Linked DNA regions of Pelodiscus sinensis. The protein of the gene in region 1 interacts with the protein of each later gene in a pairwise test. Links are inferred from orthologs where the notes say so. Each region holds a gene or a part of one and is shown on either strand. Other genes may lie near its edges. The genes, in order: SETDB2 and ARL14EP.

Region 1 (9,113 bases):
ACAGAAACACATGGTGATGGCAGCTCCAAGACCCAGGCATTGGGTTAGAGTAGGGGAGGGGACTGAGAGTTCCTGTCTCTGGGGGAAGGAGAGGGGCATTGGGTTAGAGCGGGGAGGGGGGCCGAAGCACTTTAAACACAAAGTCTTCATACATGCAGAATAAGGCAGCCAACACAGATGTCATATTTAAATTCCAGGGCAAAAAAAGAATCAGCATGTTACTCGTTTACACTGTGTTTCTTTAAAGAAAATTGAAAGGATACTGTTTGCCAGGCTGAAGCAATTATTCTGAGATATGAGTCTCTCCCTTATTGTTTTTGAACCTATCATATTTGCAGTCTGGGACAGACCTGAATTTTTAGAACTATAAAAAAACCATAGTCTTCATCAGGTTTTTTTTTTATTTATTATTATTATTATTATTTAAATAGAGAGGAAACCATACCAGAGATCAACAAGCTGGAGTGAAACAGGCACTTCAAATTCTGGTAATTTACTTCTCAGTTCAGTTTAATTTTAAAAAACTCACAGGACATAGTAGGGCAGTAGTGTTAAATTTAAAATACATGGTGGGGATGCTTTTTTTTTTTAAGTGTGAAAATATTACTGTATTTTTAAAGGTTTTTTTTTTTAAATTTGATGTTTATTCCTTGTCAAGTTCTCTGCCTATGGACCGGCCATGAATTTTTTAAGTGACTGGAGACTTTTTTTTATTGGTTTTGTCCAAAATGTCTTGTAATGTTATTTTTATCACTATATTTTGTGTACTATATCTATATATAGATATATAAAAATAAATATATAATACATGGCTCTTCGCACTCTAACCACAGCTATTTGTCTCTTAGTCTCTAACTGGTTGGCCACTCCTGCCCTAAGGATGTTAAATATCAGTTAATTGAATAGTCGAGTAACCTCATGAATTCTTTTTGGCAGCCACTGGATCAGAGACAGCAGTGCAGTGTGTCAGGCAGGAGCTGGTCCATGAGAGGAGATTGTTTTTTAAACTAGCTCCCTTCACAGACCGGCTGCCTTTCACAGTGCTGCTGCCTCTAATGAAGTGGCAGTAGCCCCTGTTGGGGGGAAGGGAGGTTCTGAGCTCCCAGACCCAGCATTAGCTGGAACTGAGCTGGGCTGCCTGCCCACCCAGTTCCTAATATACTTTAAATGCAGAGCTGCAGTGGGGGTAGGTCCTGGGCTGGTTGTGAGCCAGGCCTGAGCCGGGCTGCTGGCTAACCTGCTAAAAAATGTACTGGCAGATGGTGGGAGGGGGAGGGAAATGTGTGTAGTCTATTGCATTAACCTATAATGCTATTGCTTAATCGATTAATCAACTACACTATTACATCCATAATAGCCACCTTTGAACACACACACACACACACACACACACACACACACACTTACAGTCCTATGTCAGCACTCTTAACGGACAACAAATCCTGTGAAACATGCTTGCACTAATCAAAATGCTTTTACTCCTTGAGGGATTGTTGTAGGAGGCAGCAAGCAGAAGGCCAGGCAGGTCTGCAGAGCCAGCAGGCACAGGGCACACCTGCTTGAAAACAGACTCTTTGCGTGTATCAGCTCCCACCTGCCACCCTTACCCTCTGTGATGCTGCCTCTCTATCATGGGTCAACTCCTCATGGGCACCGGCTCCCAATCCCTCCTCCCTCGATACAGAGGCAGCTGGGGGGGGGGGCGCGGCGTGGGGAGGAAGGGAACATGCATGTAGTTGACCAGATAACCCATAAGCCCAAATTTATTGGTTAATCATGTATCTACATGTTGACATCTCTAGTAATTGCTCGCTTAGCCCTCAAGGTGGTCTCTCTCTAGCTTAAAATGGGGAACTTGCACTGCAGCTGCTTGTTACACATATCCAATGGTAGACACAATTTCAGTCTTCAGGTTGTCATTCCCACAAGCATTATTCATTTACTGACACCTCCTCTAAGTCCCCCATAATGAAAAATATATAGATGACATCACCTTCACTTCTCTCTCCACCGACATTGCTAAGGGTCTCTACATCCAGGCACTCAGATGCTATTGTGCCAGGCACACTATAGGTATCTAGATAAAAAGATTACATAGAAATTAGATGCTGGCAGCCTTTTGCTTCTTACCAAGATTCTCCAAACAGCTTTCACTCAGCTAGCTTTAACTACAATAGGCATTTGAAAGAGCATTGCCTCAGAAGATATTTACAGGGAAAATCACGAGAAGAGCAAACCACTATGATATATACATTCTTTAAAAAAAAAAAATCAGTACAAACTCAGAGGCTTTAGTCAAACTGTGTCATGAAGGCTGGCCAATCCCACCCAGTTTAGTTATATAAAACTCCCTCAAAAGAGGTGTTTAATGACTATTAAAAATGCTTTATTAAAAAAAAAAATCTTACTTTTTTCTTTTTCCATCCTTTGAAGTAGTTGCATACATGTACGTTGTGCTTCAAAAAACAGTTAGAACATTACTGCACTAAATCCAGGCTAAAATAGAACATTATGAACTTGCTGTCCTAGAACCTTATTCCTCAATTTATTATATTGCTCTTAGAGAAAGTGCCAGATTCCATGCTGAATGAGGGGCATAGTTAAATTTCCAATGAAAACCAATATTCAAGCAACAAGAAGCAAATCTTCAGTTGCCAACAATTCTTTATTGTTGCAATGTTATCTCTCCAAAAACCTTAGCACCTCCTTTGGTCTCATGAAACCACTTTTCATTCTCCTTTGGGCCAAGAAAATTCCATTTCTCTGTAAGTTAAAAAAAAAAAGAATTTTAAAGTAATTTATAGTGATTGTTTTCCAAGACCTAGCAACGAGCATTATTTGCCACCAGAGAGAGACCAGAAACATGAATGTAATAAAGAGTACACTACCACTAAAATGAACAGTTTTAAAATATATTTAAAAGGATATTATCTAAGATCCTATTATCCCAAGGAAAGAAAGCAAAGATCTGTCGTTGTTTTTTAAATCAAGTTGGGCATTTGCCATCAAACCCCAATATCCGGTAATATAAGAGGATCTAAGCTTGCACACAATGCTTGATTGCATGCCCATTGACTTAACCGTAGTATGTGAGACGTCTCACTTAAGCACGTGCTTAAAATGTAGCTTTAAAATGTGGCTTTAAAGTGCTACATAGTCCTGTATTTTGTTTAAGCACGTGTACGACTGATTGCAGGTTGAGGACTAGGAATACGGACACGTTGGAGTGTCTGTTTACCACTGATTTGTAAAAGTGTGGGGGAAATGCTCTTTAAATAAGAACTACTCCAAAAGATCTGGCACAGATTTGCAATCTAGCCAAAGAAAGAAAATTTCAATAATCACAGCTAGGTTTGACCCAACTGCATTTTCCGGTTCTGTTTTTTGGAGGAGAGAGGGGGACGAAATACATTAGGCAAGACCGCCAGCTGTTAACTGCGGAGATATTCCCGTTCAGCTCCAGCCCGCTTCCCGGGCCAGGCCCGATCCCGCTGCCTCGCTAACGATCCCGCACAGAATCAGTTTCCAAAACCCGCAGGGGCCGGGGAGGGGACAGACCGGGCACCGCAGGGCCTGCCCCCCAGCCACTAGCAGCGGAGCGAACGCGGCAACCCCGGCGCTGGACACGGTACCTTCGCAGGCGACCACCCATTAGCCCTTCGCTCGCCCCGTTACCCGAACGGGCCACACCCCTCCTGTGGGCGTGGCTAGGCTCTGCCTCGGGAGCGGAATCTGCCCCCCCCCCGTTCCAGACCTTCCTTCCGTTGGACTCACATGGCCGCCAGGCGTAGGCTCCCCCAACTAGCGCCACTCAGTCACCAATCAGCAACCACAGCTCGCCGGCCATGAGGCGGGGTTTGAACCCGGTGTCGCTCGAAAGCGATGAAAGGATTGGACGCACTCGAATGCCTGCGCGTGCGCAGAGTAGCCGGCGCGCGCGCATCAGGGGTGGAGCAAGGGGAAGCCAATGGCTATCCCGAAGGGCAGCTAGACGGGTCTAGCGGTTCGTGCGCCGTCCTCACTTTTCATTGGCTGCGAGTGGCCTTTCGTGGTGCCGTAGGGTGGCCAATGAAATCGGGCCATCAGGACTAGCTCCTGAGGAGCGGCGGTGGCGGCTAAGGTGGGTTCGTCCGCCATGTTGGGTGAGGTAAAGGGGCGGAGTTTGTTGAGGCGGGGTTAGGCTCCGGGTCCCTCTCGCTGGGTGGGTGGGTTGGTTAACCCCGGGGGCGGATTGGGGGCCGCGGCGGGCACAAGCCTGGGGATTCCGGGCTGAGGGGGGGTGAACCCCGGGGCCGCGGCGGGCACAAGCCTGGGGATTCCGGGCTGAGGGGGGGTTAACCCCGGGGCCGCGGCGGGCACAAGCCTGGGGATTCCGGGCTGAGGGGGGGTGAACCCCGGGGCCGCGGCGGGCACAAACCTGGGGATTCCGGGCGGAGGGGGGGTGAACCCCGGGGCCGCGGCGGGCACAAGCCTGGGGATTCCGGGCTGAGGGGGGGTGAACCCCGGGGCCGCGGCGGGCACAAGCCTGGGGATTCCGGGCGGAGGGGGGGTGAACCCCGGGGGCCGCGGCGGGTACAAGCCTGGGGATTCCGGGCGGAGGGGGGTTAACCCCGGGGGTGGATTGAGGGCCAAGGCGGGTTCACCCCTAGGAGGCGCGTTGGGTTTTTTTAATTCAAGGGGTTTGTTTTCTTCCAAAGACTTGGATGGTTCCGGCCTCTTAGTTCCCATCGCGGTGGAAAGTCTGCCCGGTGGAGCGGGAACGCGGGTTTCTGCTGGTGCTCTAACGCGCCGCAGGAGGTTGGGGGCTGCCCGAAACCTAGCACCTTTCTTCTGTTGCACGTGATTGTCTGCCCGGTGCCCTTTGCTGCGCGGCCTTGGTCTCATTTTGTAGTACACTTTAAGTGCTACATAGTCCTGTTTTTTGGTCTCCTTTTGTACTGCACTCCTGACGCCGACCGGTCTTCCTGGTGTGTTAGGTGCTGGTTGTAGTACACAGGTTACAGCGAGAGAGAAGCTTGAGAGTTGTGGGGCTTCCTCATTGCTTTCTGTTACCCTGGCTGCTAGATCTTAAAGTTATGTTTTCTGTTATTGTAGTCAGTAAAGAGTGAAATAAGGCTCTGGCCTTTTTGAAGGCTGGAAACATGGCAGGGGATGCATCTCTTAAAAAGGTGTAGTGCAGAGAGATAGTGTTGAGGTTGGTGGTTATTCAAAAACCATTTCCAGGTTTGGCTGCTGAGCTGTGCTTCAGGCTGAGGCGCAATTCATCTTTCTCACCTTCTGTGTGTTACTTTAGACTAGTTTTGTTTTACAAGGCTAAAACAGGCCAAAATTGTAGTCTTCAGGGTAAGACTGCAAGCAGTACTTAACTGTCTCATTGCAGATACGGGGGAAACATTTCCATGTCTGTGATCTCTTGGGATCAGATACCTACATATTGTACTTAATGCAAATAATTTCATTTGCAGAATTTGACCTATTAAGATGTAGAAAGTTCCTTAAACTTAACACAATTTAAAATAAACTATCCAGTAATTATAAGAATTCAGATAATCTGTTGAGCTCCTTATTTGTCTGCTGGGTCACTCTGGTCAACTACCATGTGTAAATAAGCAGCAGGCACTTAAAATATTAGCTGTTACACAAATGAATACAGTAAATGAATTATTTCAGTTGTCCTCTCAGGCTGTCTCTTGTGACTCCGAGTGCTTTAGCATCACCTAATAGTGCTGCAGCAGTGTGGAAATGCAAATTCTTACAATAATTTAGATTATTTAAAAAGGTACTGTTACTATAGATCTTATACCAGCTTTAAAATCTGACATTTGAAAACTTAAAGCAGAGTTTACAAGATACTTTTGAAAAATAATAATACACTTTTCACAATTTTTTTTCCAGCACTGATATCCTGTTTAAATGGAATATAGCAGTTCATGTTTGTGTTTTTTGCAGAGTAATTTTATATTCTAGACTGAAATCTAACATAATAGCCTGATTGCCTCCAACCTTGCGATAGTAATTTAATTAATATTCAAGAAAAAAAGAAAAAACATTGAACGCAATTTTGTTCAATGACTATCTAAACCAGGAAACATGACATCAAATTTTTGTGGAATATCTGCCACTTCATATTCATTGTTTTAAATTTATAGAACGTGTTTGAAGTTCGCTAGTTAGTTCATGAGTAGTGGATGATAAGTAACTGACATGTATAGGGAGAAGGGCTATTAATATTGATGTTACCACAAACAAGACTGGGCCAAATATTTTAAAGACAAATTTTATTTAAAATAATGGCTTACATTTTCAAAAAACCCTTTCATGATTTTTTTGCTCTGAGAATATAACTATGTGAGCTGATGGTAATGAGACAATATTTCCTTTTAACATAAACCACTGTGTATACAGGCAAATAGAAATTCTAAGGAATAGTTAACCGCAAATGTATTTCATAACAGGATAAGTCACTTGCTGCACCAAAGTCATATATCAAAGTACAGTGTTAAACTTGACTTATATGTAAAACAGCTTTACCTTTAAACTATAGGAATGTCTCCCTATATTTTTATTATGTTGGTATGTGCACTTTGGTAGTGATTATTACTTAGCTCCCAAGTTGAGTATTTTAACATGGAATAGAACTAAACATTTGCTTATTCTTTTCATGATGTATTGTTCCATAAAAATCTGCATGCTGGGGATATTGTGATTATTTCATGAGAATCCAAACATTGTGTAAACACTTTTTCTCACCTTTGATTTTTAAGTACAGGCAGTCCCCGACTTACGCGGATCCGACTTATGTCGGATCCGCAGTTACGAACGGGGCTCGCCCTGAAGGACACGGACTGCGGGACCTCGCGGTCCTGCCGCCCGTGTACTCCAGGGCTTTCTCCACGTCTCCCTGGTCTGCAGACCAGGAAGACGCGGAGCAAAGCCGCGGAGGGGCTCGGGCAGCGGGGCAGCCCAGGCACGCCTGGGCTGCCCCGCTGCCCGAGCCCCTCCACGGCTTTGCAAAGCCTTGGGGAAGCCGGCAGCGGGACAGCCCAGACGCCCCGCGGCTGTCCCGCTGCTGGCGTCCTCAGAGGCTTTGCTCCCCGTCTCCCTGGTCTCCCCGTCTCCCTGGTAAGCTAGTACGCCCCCTCCACCCCCAGCAGACTAGGCTTTTCTCCAGACGCCTGTGGCAGAGCAGCTGGGGCGCTGCCGGTTGGTCCTGCAGCGCCGCTCTGGACGCTACTGGACCAACCCGGCAGCACCCCAGCTGCTCTGCCCCAGGCGTCCTGATTCAGCCGCTGCTGGTCAGTTTCAGCAGCGGCTGAATCTGGACGCCAGTTCCGACTTACATACAGATTCAACTTAAGAACAAACCTACAGTCCCTATCTTGGACGTAACCCGGGGACTGCCTGTATGCTTGTATTTGTTCTGAATGATGCTACTTAGAATTGTTTGTTTGGAAGAAAAAAGATTGAGAAATAAATACAATTTCTCATATTCCTACATACTATCTTCATTGTCTATTCACCTGATTAGGTTAAGAAGAATTTGTATCTGTATGTTGGTATAGTGGTTATATATTTCATGGCTTGCGAACAGCAAAATGGGCCTGGGCTTCTTTTCAGGCCTGCATGGATTGCTAAAATGTAATATTAGGAATCCAAATATAAGTGATTTAATTCCAAGGCCAGAAGGGATCATTGTCATCATCTAGTCTGACCACCTGGGTAAGAGGCCATAGAACTTCTTCAATATAATTCTTAGAGCATATCTTTTAGAAAAAATCCATCTTGAGTTTAAAAATTGTTAGTGATGTGGAATTCAGTTCCACCGTTGGTTAGTTTCAGTGGTTAAAAAGTCTATGTAGCTGTATTATTCTGTACATTTAAAAACAAGTCTGTTAAACTAAATTGTTTGATCTCCTTTAGTCCATCATTTTTCTTATACCCCAATCATTCTCATGGTTCTCTTCTGAATCCTCTTCGATTTATCAACATCTTTCTTGAGTTTTAGGCAGCAGAAGTGAATGGAGTATTGAAGCAGCAGTTACACTAGTGCCAAATACGGAGAGAGAATAATTTTTACTATTACCTGAGACTCCTCTGCTTATGCATACAGGGATTGCATTAGCTTTTTTTGGCCAGAGCATTGTGATGGAGGCTCATCAGTAGTTGATGATTCACTACAACCCCCAGCCTTTTTTGGAGTCACTGCTTCCCATGATAAAATCCCCCATTCCATAAGCATGGCCTATATTTTTAGTTCCTAGGTATATATGTTTACATGAAGCTATAATGAAACAATCTTGCTTGCATCCATTTTACAAGCAATCCAGATTGCTTAGTATCAGTGAGCTGTCTTGTTCATTATTTACCACTCCCACAATATATCATCTGCAAGCTTTATTAGTAGTAGTTTTGTGTTTTCTTCCAGATAATTAATAAAAATATTCAAATACCATATGGCTAAGAGCATCCCTGCAGGGCTCCATTAGAAACACACCTGTTCAATGATGATTCCCATTTACAATTATTTTTTGAGATCCATCAGCCACTTTTAACCCATTTATTGTGTGACATTAATTTTACATATAAAGTTTTTAATCACAAAGTCATGTGTTACCAAGTCTAATGTCTTAAATAAGTCTTATGTCAACATTGTTGCCTTTATTAACCACACTGTAATCTAATCTTTTAAAAAAAGTTAGACAGGATTGTTTGTCATAAACCTATGATGAGATGCTTTAATTGCATTATTCAATTAATTTTTACTAAGCTAATCCCATTTCAGTGCACCATTGTCTTGTCCAAGATCAGTGTCAGACTATAATTACTGGATCATCCCTATTTAACCTTTTGAAATAGTTTCACGGAATTAGCTTTCTTCTAGTCTTTTGGAATTTACTCGGTGTTTATAGATTTACTGAAAATAAACATTAACAGTCCAATGACCATCTCAGACAGCTTTTAAAATTATTGGTTGCAAGTTATTTAAACCTGATTTTAAAATGTTTCACTTGAGTAGCTTCTAGTTAACATCCTCCTGAAATACTAGTGGAAAGAGAGCCATATGATGTCAAATTTTTCCTAGGTATAACACAGAAATTTCTGTTGAGCATATC
Region 2 (9,071 bases), on another chromosome or scaffold:
TACTATTGATTTGGCTATCAATGTTGTCTTTCGTGTAAGATCTTGAGTACTAACTGCTAAGTGACTGGTCACTTGGGACTGGGAGCAACCAGATGTGATATGATTTTTGGTGTGACCATTTTATGTTATCACAAAATCCAGTTTGTCTGGGTAGCAAGATAAACAGGGGAGTATAAGGAAACTGTCTGTGACTCCATGTTAAGACTGGTATAATCAAGGAGCTCAAATTTGTCACTGGGTTTGTGCAACTTAATTATAGAACACATCACCAGTTTGCAACGTCTACCTTATTTTTAGAAAGCCTGCCCTAAGGTTAACGTGACGGGGCGTTCATGCCTCATGGCCAGGCGGCACTTAACACCCGCACTGTGGAGAGGGGAGGGGCAGCATTCTGGAGAGAGAAGGCCCTGATCCTGCATCGCTGTGGTGCGTGCACCCGTGCTGCTAGCCACACAGGCGTTGGAGAGCCGACGCAGGTTGAAGGGAGTGGATCCGCCTGGCAGGGACGCTTATATGGCACTGGCCAGCATCTTAGGGAGGGGACCAGGTGGAGAGGCTGTGCCAGGCAGAGCAGGGCCAGCTGGATGGTTTGGCCTAACCCTGGAGCACCAAGGGGGGTCCAAGGGACAGTGGCAGCTGTTCATGGGCTTTGTGCCAGCCACAAGACACCTGGGAGAGACACCGGGGACCGAAGGCTTCATCATCGACGAGTAGACAGGACAGTGAGGACTTTGTGGGTGGTAGGAAGCAGCCTAAGGCAAGGGTAATCTGGACTCCATTCAAACGACCCCGCGGGTTGGTGAGTTGCGAGCGGCAGCCCTACCAACTGAGCAGAGAATTGGCTCCCCTGCTCTTAGGGCCTTGGGCCAGGATCCAGAGTGAGGAAGGGCCTGGGTCCCCCTACCGTCCAATGCTGGTCCACGTGGGTGAGTTACGCTCATTCCAGGAACAAAATCCTGAGTAATTGTTCACTGGAGAGGGCCTCCCAATGCAAACCAGAGACTTGGTAGGATGGACTTGAGTTTAGGGAGAGCAGGGACAGCGGCCCCCGATCAGGTGGGCCTCATTACCAGGGGTGGTTCAAAGGGGACAATGGGTCCCAGATACGTATGTTATATTCTTTTTGGTTATAAATGTACTAAGTGGGTGTTAACCCGAGCAAAGACTCATACGTGGAGTGTTTATTGGTGATTAGTAGAAAGGGATGTCACCGACTGTCCATCGATGATGTGACAGTTAAACGTAAAAAGCAACAAATGCCCTAAGATTGGCATTCAGTCATGAGCTATTCCAGACAGGGTGACCCCTGTGAACTTAAGTGTGTCTCTTCATACTGAAGTATTTTTATAATTTGTATTTGGTAATTATTTAGGCAAAATGCCCACTGAAATCAATGGGAACAAAATAAAGTCAAAAGCTGCACACAGCATTAACAATTGGCCAGGTTATTTTATTTTTTGCATTATTGTTAATCATGTTGTCTCAGCTAGTCACAAGTAAGAATTGCAGTATTTTGCTTTGAGTCTCATATGTGATTTGTTCCCACTCATAGGCCTGAGAACCCCATACTGGCCTATCTTCATTTGACATGGCACAGATAAGAATACAGTAGTAACCATAGTGAGAAATAAACTCTTTTCAAATTAGTTTCATTCAAGAGTTTAAACTAAAACATTCGTACTATAAGCTTCCTGATTAAAAATGCATGGTTAGTCCATTTTTGTTGTTTCTTTTTAATACAATCTACCACCACAAACATGAAGATGGAATTTAAAATGTCACTGGAAGACTCATACTCTAGACTAGGGCTACTCACCAGGTGGCCCGCAGGTGGGATCCTTTGAACATGGCCTTCACTGGGAACATGTTCCACAACTGTGAGTCAATATAATGGTCTTCAGTTGATATGCATTTTAGTAGTTAAAATTCCTGGACTGTCATTGCTCATTAAAAGTGCTGTCATTTGCGTGGAAATTGGGTAAATATTGCATTTTATTAATATCAGCAGAACTGACTTCAATGGGACCTGCATGTTGTGTAGTCTTGCCTTAATCTTTGTATTCATGCCCATCAGTGTGAAAGAAGCTATTTGCATATATATTTGTATGTATATTTGCATGTATATGCAACTAAACTTAAGTTGAGACTCTTGGCATGTGCTGTGAGTATCATTGTGGTCCCTGAGGCTTCCAAAGTTGAGTAGCCCTGCTTTAGAGCAATCCCAGTGAATACCATTTGACTGTAATTTAAACCGTTTGGTGGTGTCAGCACCTTAGCTGTTTACCTTGTTGCATCTTCCAAAAACAAAAGCTGAGCTTGACCCTAAATCTATCTTGAACAACCACTGTTGACAGACTACTCCAATTGAAATCTACAGTCTCCAATAAAACAGCAACAATTACGTAAAAGATTTGAATGGTCTCCACTACATCTTTGTATCCACATAGGACAAAGTTGTGGCATAACAATGTTGTAAGGTTTATTTCATGACCATGTATAAATGAACACATTGCTTTGGTTCCCTAAAGTATTTCATAATACTTTATAGTGTGCCATGAACCAATCATCCCACAATCAGAATGATTGAATGAAAAAAGGAAAACTTGGCAAATAGAACTTTTCAAAATTGTAAATATGAAAAAAGTGTAACTGGAATGACTTCACTGCACAGTAAGTCAAAAATGTACCAGTGGAATAGTTTTTCACTGTAAAAAAAATCTCATTGGGAACTAGAATGAATCAATGTTGCCAAAATTTCATTAGGGGAGAAGGATCAAGGAATTTGAAGTGCAAGTGGTGTTCTCATCCATCCTTCAGGTTGAAGGAAAAGGTCTGGGTAGGGATCGTCGAATTGAGGAAGTAAAGGCGTGGTTGTACAGGTGGTGTTGGAGAGAGGACTTTGGTTTATTCGACCATGGGACTCTGTTCCAGGCACAAGGATTGTTAGGAAGAGATGGTATCCACCTAACCAAGGCTATGTCTACACTGGTGGCTTCTTACGCAAGAACATCTTCCGCAAGGGTTCTTGTGCAAGAACTCTTGCGCAAGAACACATCCAGACTGCTATATGCAAGATATGCTTTTGCTCAAGAGTATCCATGGCAGTGTGGACACTCTCTTGTGCAAGAAACCTCTGATAGCCATTTTAGCCATTGGGCTTTCTTGTGCAAGAAACCCCTGCCACGCATCCACACTGCACTCTTGTGGATGAGAGCTTACACCTGTTAGAAAAGAGCGTAGCTCTTGCACAAGAAGCCCTCTCTTACCACGCTTTACTGTAAATCTTCTTCTGCAAGAGTGGGTGGGCAGTGTTGATGCTCTGCAGAAGAACAGCCATTGTTGCACAATAACCCGTCAGTGTAGACATAGCCCAAGAGAGGAAAGAGCATCTTCACGGGCAGGTTTGCAAACCTAGTGAGGAGGGCTTTCAACTAGGTTAATTGGGGGATGTTCACCAAAGCCCTGACGTAAGTGAGGAAGTCAGACACCAGGAAGAATCACAAGGAGGAATGAGCAACAAAGGAGGACCCCTGATTCGGATGGAGAAGGTAGGGCAATCAACTAGTTATCTATGGTGTTTGTACACCAATGCGAGAAGCCTGGGAAACAAACAGGAAGAATTAGAACCCGTGGTCCAGTTAAAGGACTATGATTTGATTGGAATAATGGAGACTTGGTGGGATGACTGGCATGACTGGAGCACTGTCATGGAAGGGTATAAACTGTTCAGGAAGAACAGGAGGGGGAGAAAAGGAAGAGGAGTTGCATTGTATGTAAGAGAGCACTATGATTGCCCGGAGCTCCAGTATTTAGAGGGAGAAAAGACTGTTGAGAGTTTATGGGTTAAATTTAGAGTGGAAGCAACAGGGGTGATGTTGTGGTTGGTATCTGCTATAGACTGCCAGATCAGGTGGATGAGGTAGACGAAGCTTTCTTTGGACAACTGAGTGAAGCTTCCAGATCACAGGCCCTTGTTCTCATGGGTGACTTTAATCACCCTGAAATCTGTTGGGAAACCAATACAGCAGTACACAGACAATCCTGGAAGTTTTTGGAGAATATTGGGGATAACTTCTTGGTACAAATGCTGAAGGAACCGACCAGGGGCCATGTGCATCTTGACCTACTGCTCACAAACAGGGAGGAACTAGTAGGGGAAGTAGAGGTGGGTGACAACCTGGGAAGCAGTGATCATGAGATGGTAGATTTCAGGATCCTGACCAAAGGAAGAAAGGAGAGTAGCAAATTACACACACAGTATCGTGTTATTATTTTGTCCCATGGAGATGATCCATTCAGAAACATGCAGGAGTGACCTTATTTGGAATGGAATGTTTTGCTTCCTTTCAAAATGACTTTTTACAGTGTATTCACTGACACACCGTTTGGGGTACACTTTGTATACACTTTGGAGTTCAGATTTGGAACCCAAAACATGTCAGGCTATAGAACAGCTCTAATGAGGAGCTCCCCGCTTGCCTGGATCCAGCCCCCAAGGCTCAGCCCCGCCCCCCCTGCACTGGGGAGCCCCTGCTGGCGCTCCAGCTCCCCTGCTGCCCCACCAGGGGACAGGATCACTCCATGGGCTCTTGCGTGTGCGGAGGCCGCATCACGAGGGGTGTTTTATTTTGTTGCCTCTCGCTCGTGTGCAGCCCCCGCCTGCTCTTTCCCTAGGTCAGTGCCCCCCCGTCGGAAAAGGTTCCCGCCCGGGGTCAGAGCACTGGTGGGAGGGCGGCAGCTGACTCGGGGTTCCTGAGTCCCGCGGAGTGGCACGAGACGCCCCCTCGCTCCCCCCCCCCCCGCAACTTGCTCTCAGGGCCCATGACGAGCTACACGCGCGAGAGCCGCCGCCGGGCGCTAAGGGAAGCGTCGCGAGCTGCAACCCGCAGGCGCGGCTGCGCCTCGCGGTCACGTGAGCGGCGCCTACCCTCTCTCTCTCTGGTAGTGGTGCGGTGCGACGCTCTAGCCGCCCCGGCGTCCTCGCTCGCTGCTCCTCTGTGGTGCGCGGCCAGGGTTCATGGCGGCCCCTAGCACCGCGGTTCTGGTGGGGGGCCCTCGGGAGCCGGGTTCCGTGGCGGCACAAGGGCGGAAGAAAACCTACGGCAAGGTACGGGGCGGCCTCTGAAGGGGGCGCAGGGGCCGGAAGTGTGTGTGTGTGTGGTGGGGGAGGGGCAGAGGCGATGCTGGGCCGGGCCGGCCCTGTCTCGCGGCCTGCGTGTAGCCGGGTCTGCGGCGGGGCGAGGGGCGGGCAGCCGCTTCCTTCGTCGCCCTGAGCTCCGTAGCGCTGCGGAGAGCTGTTAGCTTAGCCCCGGCCCCGCTGCCTTCTGCTGCAGGCTGCGCCAAGCGGCCTCTCGCCTTCTCCGCCACGCGTTTAACTTGGGTCTCTCCGCCTTGTGGTGTGGACTCGCCGCCCGTGACTGTACATCTCTGTCCCCAGCGCTGCTTGCGTGCGCGTGTCTCTAATAAAGCTTGCTGTGCGCCGCGCGTTGTCTCTGTATCCCGTTTACTCTGACCCCGCTCATTTCCCCCTACCTCCTGCTCAGGCTATTAAATAAGAGCCAAGTGCAAGATAATTCCACTTGGCTAGTATCGTACTGAGATATATCTAGCAAGATAGGCTGGAGCTTTCCACATTTCCATTGTTTCCAAGCTTGCCAGAAGTAGTGGCTGATGCTGTCTCAAAACTAAAGCACATAAAAAACATCCAACATATTTTTAAAAAATGGGGGGCTAAAGCTAGTGCTACTGTTTGGATATAGATGAGCAATGAAAAGCACCAATTTGGGAATGGGGAGACCCAAAGTTGCAGCTTCTGGTTTGTTCTTCCATTTTTTCCTCATAACACAGTCTTATTGTCTAGTTGTATTTAATTTCCTACCACCTTTGCTTCAATTTTCAGCAGTGCTTCCCTGCTTTCCCACAGCACTGCTCCTTCAAGTATTCTTGGCTTGGCTTACATAAGTGCTTTATTGTGCCTTGAGCATCTGCATCCCAAATCATTTTGACTTGTTTGTTTGATCTGTTCAAGCAGTAAATTCCGATTCGGAAATCCTGGAGCTGTGAATACAAGATCTTTTTTTAAAATCTGGTTTTGCTGTGTGAAATTTTGAACGGTTTCATTTTGCATGTTTTAGGTTTAAAACAATTGAATATACTTCTACCTTTTCCAATTTTGAAATCCATTGGTTTCTATGTGTATACTAAGGATGTTAAGGACTAGTTGGCTGTCCTCCCCTTCCTTCCCCCCACCTCCTTGCTGTGTGAGGCAGCAAAGGGGGGGGGAGAGAAACAGGGTACTTCAAAGCAGCAGCACCGCACAGTTGATCCCAGGCTGAGCTGTGCAGTGCTGCCCGTTTGAAACACTGCCATGGCATTTCAAAGGGGCAGCGCTACATGGAGTCTAGGGTCAGCTCCATGCAGCACTAATTTGAAACACTACTATGACATTTGTGTGGAGCCCGGGGTCAGCTGGGGTTCCAGTGCAGAGCTGGTGGTCTGCTGGGGAGTCCCCAGCTTACCCGGGCTCCACGTGGCATTTCAAAGCAGCAGTGCAGCATGGAGCCCAGGGTCAGTGGGGGACTCTGATTCCCCCGCTGATGCCAGGCTCCATGAGGGCACTTCCACTTTGAAAAGCACAAGAGCCTCCGCTGGGGACTGATGTACATTTCAAAGCTGGCACTCGTGTGCAGCCTGGAGTCAGCGAGACTTCCCGCTGGCCCTGGGCTGCATGTGGAGTTCTGCATTCCTTCTTTGAAATGTACTGGAGCCCCAGCTGGGGCTCTTGTACATTTCAAATAGGAATGTGGAAGTGCCTTATCGAGTAATTGATGGAAATTCGACTATTTGATATTTAACATCCTTTTAGTGTCTGCCAAGCATGCACATGTAAATCAAAGGAAAATTATAAACTTACTGACCTATAAACTTTGTTTTATTGTTGAATGCACAGTGGTGTCCCATAGAAATGGTGCTTTCTCAAAGCAGATCACAGGTGGAACTTCAGGTACTGCAATTTTACATTAGTGCAGGTGTCTAATTAGTGCAGGTGCCCAAAAATAGCAATTGAAAAACTGTCTGGCAGTTTTGTTTTTAAGGAAAATAGATGCAGGCAAATAACAAGTACTTTTACTAATCTTATTTTAAATTCGTCTTTCAATTTTTCAACTTTTGAATGTATCTGCAAAACTGGGAGCTTGTTTCACCTTTTATCTAGGAGAGAAAGGAATCATTCAGAAATATACATGTAGTGAAGGATAAAACAAACGTTTTTTCTCTCTTGCACATACTCAGACCCAGACTATAAGTATACAGCTTACACCATTGCCAGAATCATTCCTTGTCTATTATAATTTTACCCAAAACACATTTTTGGTAAAGGCTGTTGAAAGAAATGTTTTATATTGAATGTAATTATTTGTATGGTCCTGTATGGATTATACTCTAAAATGTAATTTTTGAAGCATAAGATTAAAATATAAGTACTTATCTAGCAATTATTTTGGATAAGTGAAATCACTAGCAAAATAAAGCTTGAAAAATGTTGGAAATCTTAATATACTTAAAATAATCATTTCAGTTCCAGTGCTCCCTCTAAGCTGTGGGGCAGTACAGCTTCACAGGTGATTAATCAGCCTGCTTAGCAAAGAGCCAGGAGTCTCTCTGACTGGGCTGGGCTGATTGTTGCCCAGCAGCTTAGAGGGAACACTGGTATGCTCCAAAGCAAACCCTGATAAATCTGACTTGTTATATTCTCAGATGGTAAGTTCTGAAAACAAAAAGTCAAAAATTTATATACCAGCTATAAGACTTAAAGCTTTAAAGGCACATTGTCAAAGGGGAAGAAATAGCTTTCTATTGCTCAAAGTAAAAATTGAAATTCTTATAATTCAAAAATATTAGAGAGGAAAATATCTAGTTTGTTTATATTAAGCAAAACCATAAAACTGACTATAAATGAAGAATTGGCAGGTAAACAAACCAATCAGTCATTTTGGCCAGTTTCTGTGGCTCTCTTAAAAAAGCAATGGAGGGTAGAAAAATATATGAAAATAAATAGAAAGTTGGTGGTAAAGCCACAAAATTTGACAGGGGTTCTGGATCAAATTTTAATTGACTGCATTTTGGTTTGACAATGTTCCTTATAAAAATGAATGAAGAAATAATAATAGAAAAAATACAGAAAATCTTCCGATGCCACTAAGGCCGAAGACAAGTGTAAGCTAATACATAGAGAAATGGGAGTTATGTTGAAATGATGTGTCTTTTTTCTATGTATGAAACACTTTGATCCAAAATATCGGAAAGACTTACTGAATGTATGGAATTTATTTATAGTGGAGAACAAGAGCATTCTGTAAAAGTTGAAGTGGACTCCAGCCCATGAAAGCTTAAGCCCAAATGAATTTTAGTGTTTAATGTGCCACCTTAAAGACTTTCTGAAATATGTAAAAATTAATTCTCTGGTGTCATGGCTCTAGTTCAGATATATACACATTTCCAAATGAACATACAGATTATAAGAGCTTACAAATTCTAGTGACGTCCATAAGAATTTGAAATAAAAATTTTCTTAGCTCTTAAGTCCCCATTGGCTTCCACATTTTAGGTGATTGTAGAAACTGAAGTGTATGAAGTTACTTTCTGTTATGCAGACCTTAAGAGTTTTTCATGGCAAGAGTTTCAATCAGATCTCACTGTTGACTTTTCAGATGACCAAGAATTTTAATTGAGTGGAATCTAGATAATCTATGTTTGATTGTAAATACGTTCCTTAAAATATAGGATTGAGGGCTGTAGTCTGAAATCAGGCAGTCAGTGCATTTCAAAAATAGCTAACAAAAACATACTTGCTGCTCTTAACATGAAAGCCTCATATATTTTGTCAGTAGTGTCAAGTTTGTTTTTAACTTGCAATGGCACTGAACAGTATTGCTGAGATTCCTGATATGTTTCAAGATTTTTTTTAACTCAGAAGTTTAACAGAGCACATCTTAATTGCAAAGCCTATGATAAGGCACAAAGATTTTTAGAAATAATTACTATATTAAAAATGATTATTCTGTTGTATATTT

What was found.
Region 2: the proteins of SETDB2 (region 1) and ARL14EP interact in binary tests that used the Homo sapiens proteins (3 or more experiments, as listed by UniProt). The two-hybrid records come from large-scale screens. The link is inferred for Pelodiscus sinensis from reciprocal best matches to the Homo sapiens genes SETDB2 and ARL14EP.

What each region holds. Positions count from the first base shown.
Region 1 is NC_134711.1:289,767,835-289,776,947, reverse strand, and holds the start of SETDB2 (histone-lysine N-methyltransferase SETDB2), read right to left. Parts: upstream 3,946-9,113; 5' UTR 3,775-3,945; intron 3,768-3,774; exon of another isoform or gene 3,633-3,767; intron 3,627-3,632; exon of another isoform or gene 3,364-3,626; intron 2,764-3,363; 5' UTR 2,443-2,763; coding exon 2,409-2,442; intron 2,078-2,408; coding exon 1,994-2,077; intron 1,668-1,993; exon of another isoform or gene 1-1,667. UniProt on the Homo sapiens protein: Histone methyltransferase involved in left-right axis specification in early development and mitosis. Specifically trimethylates 'Lys-9' of histone H3 (H3K9me3).
Region 2 is NC_134714.1:95,809,552-95,818,622, forward strand, and holds the start of ARL14EP (ARL14 effector protein), read left to right. Parts: upstream 1-4,948; 5' UTR 4,949-5,107; intron 5,108-9,071.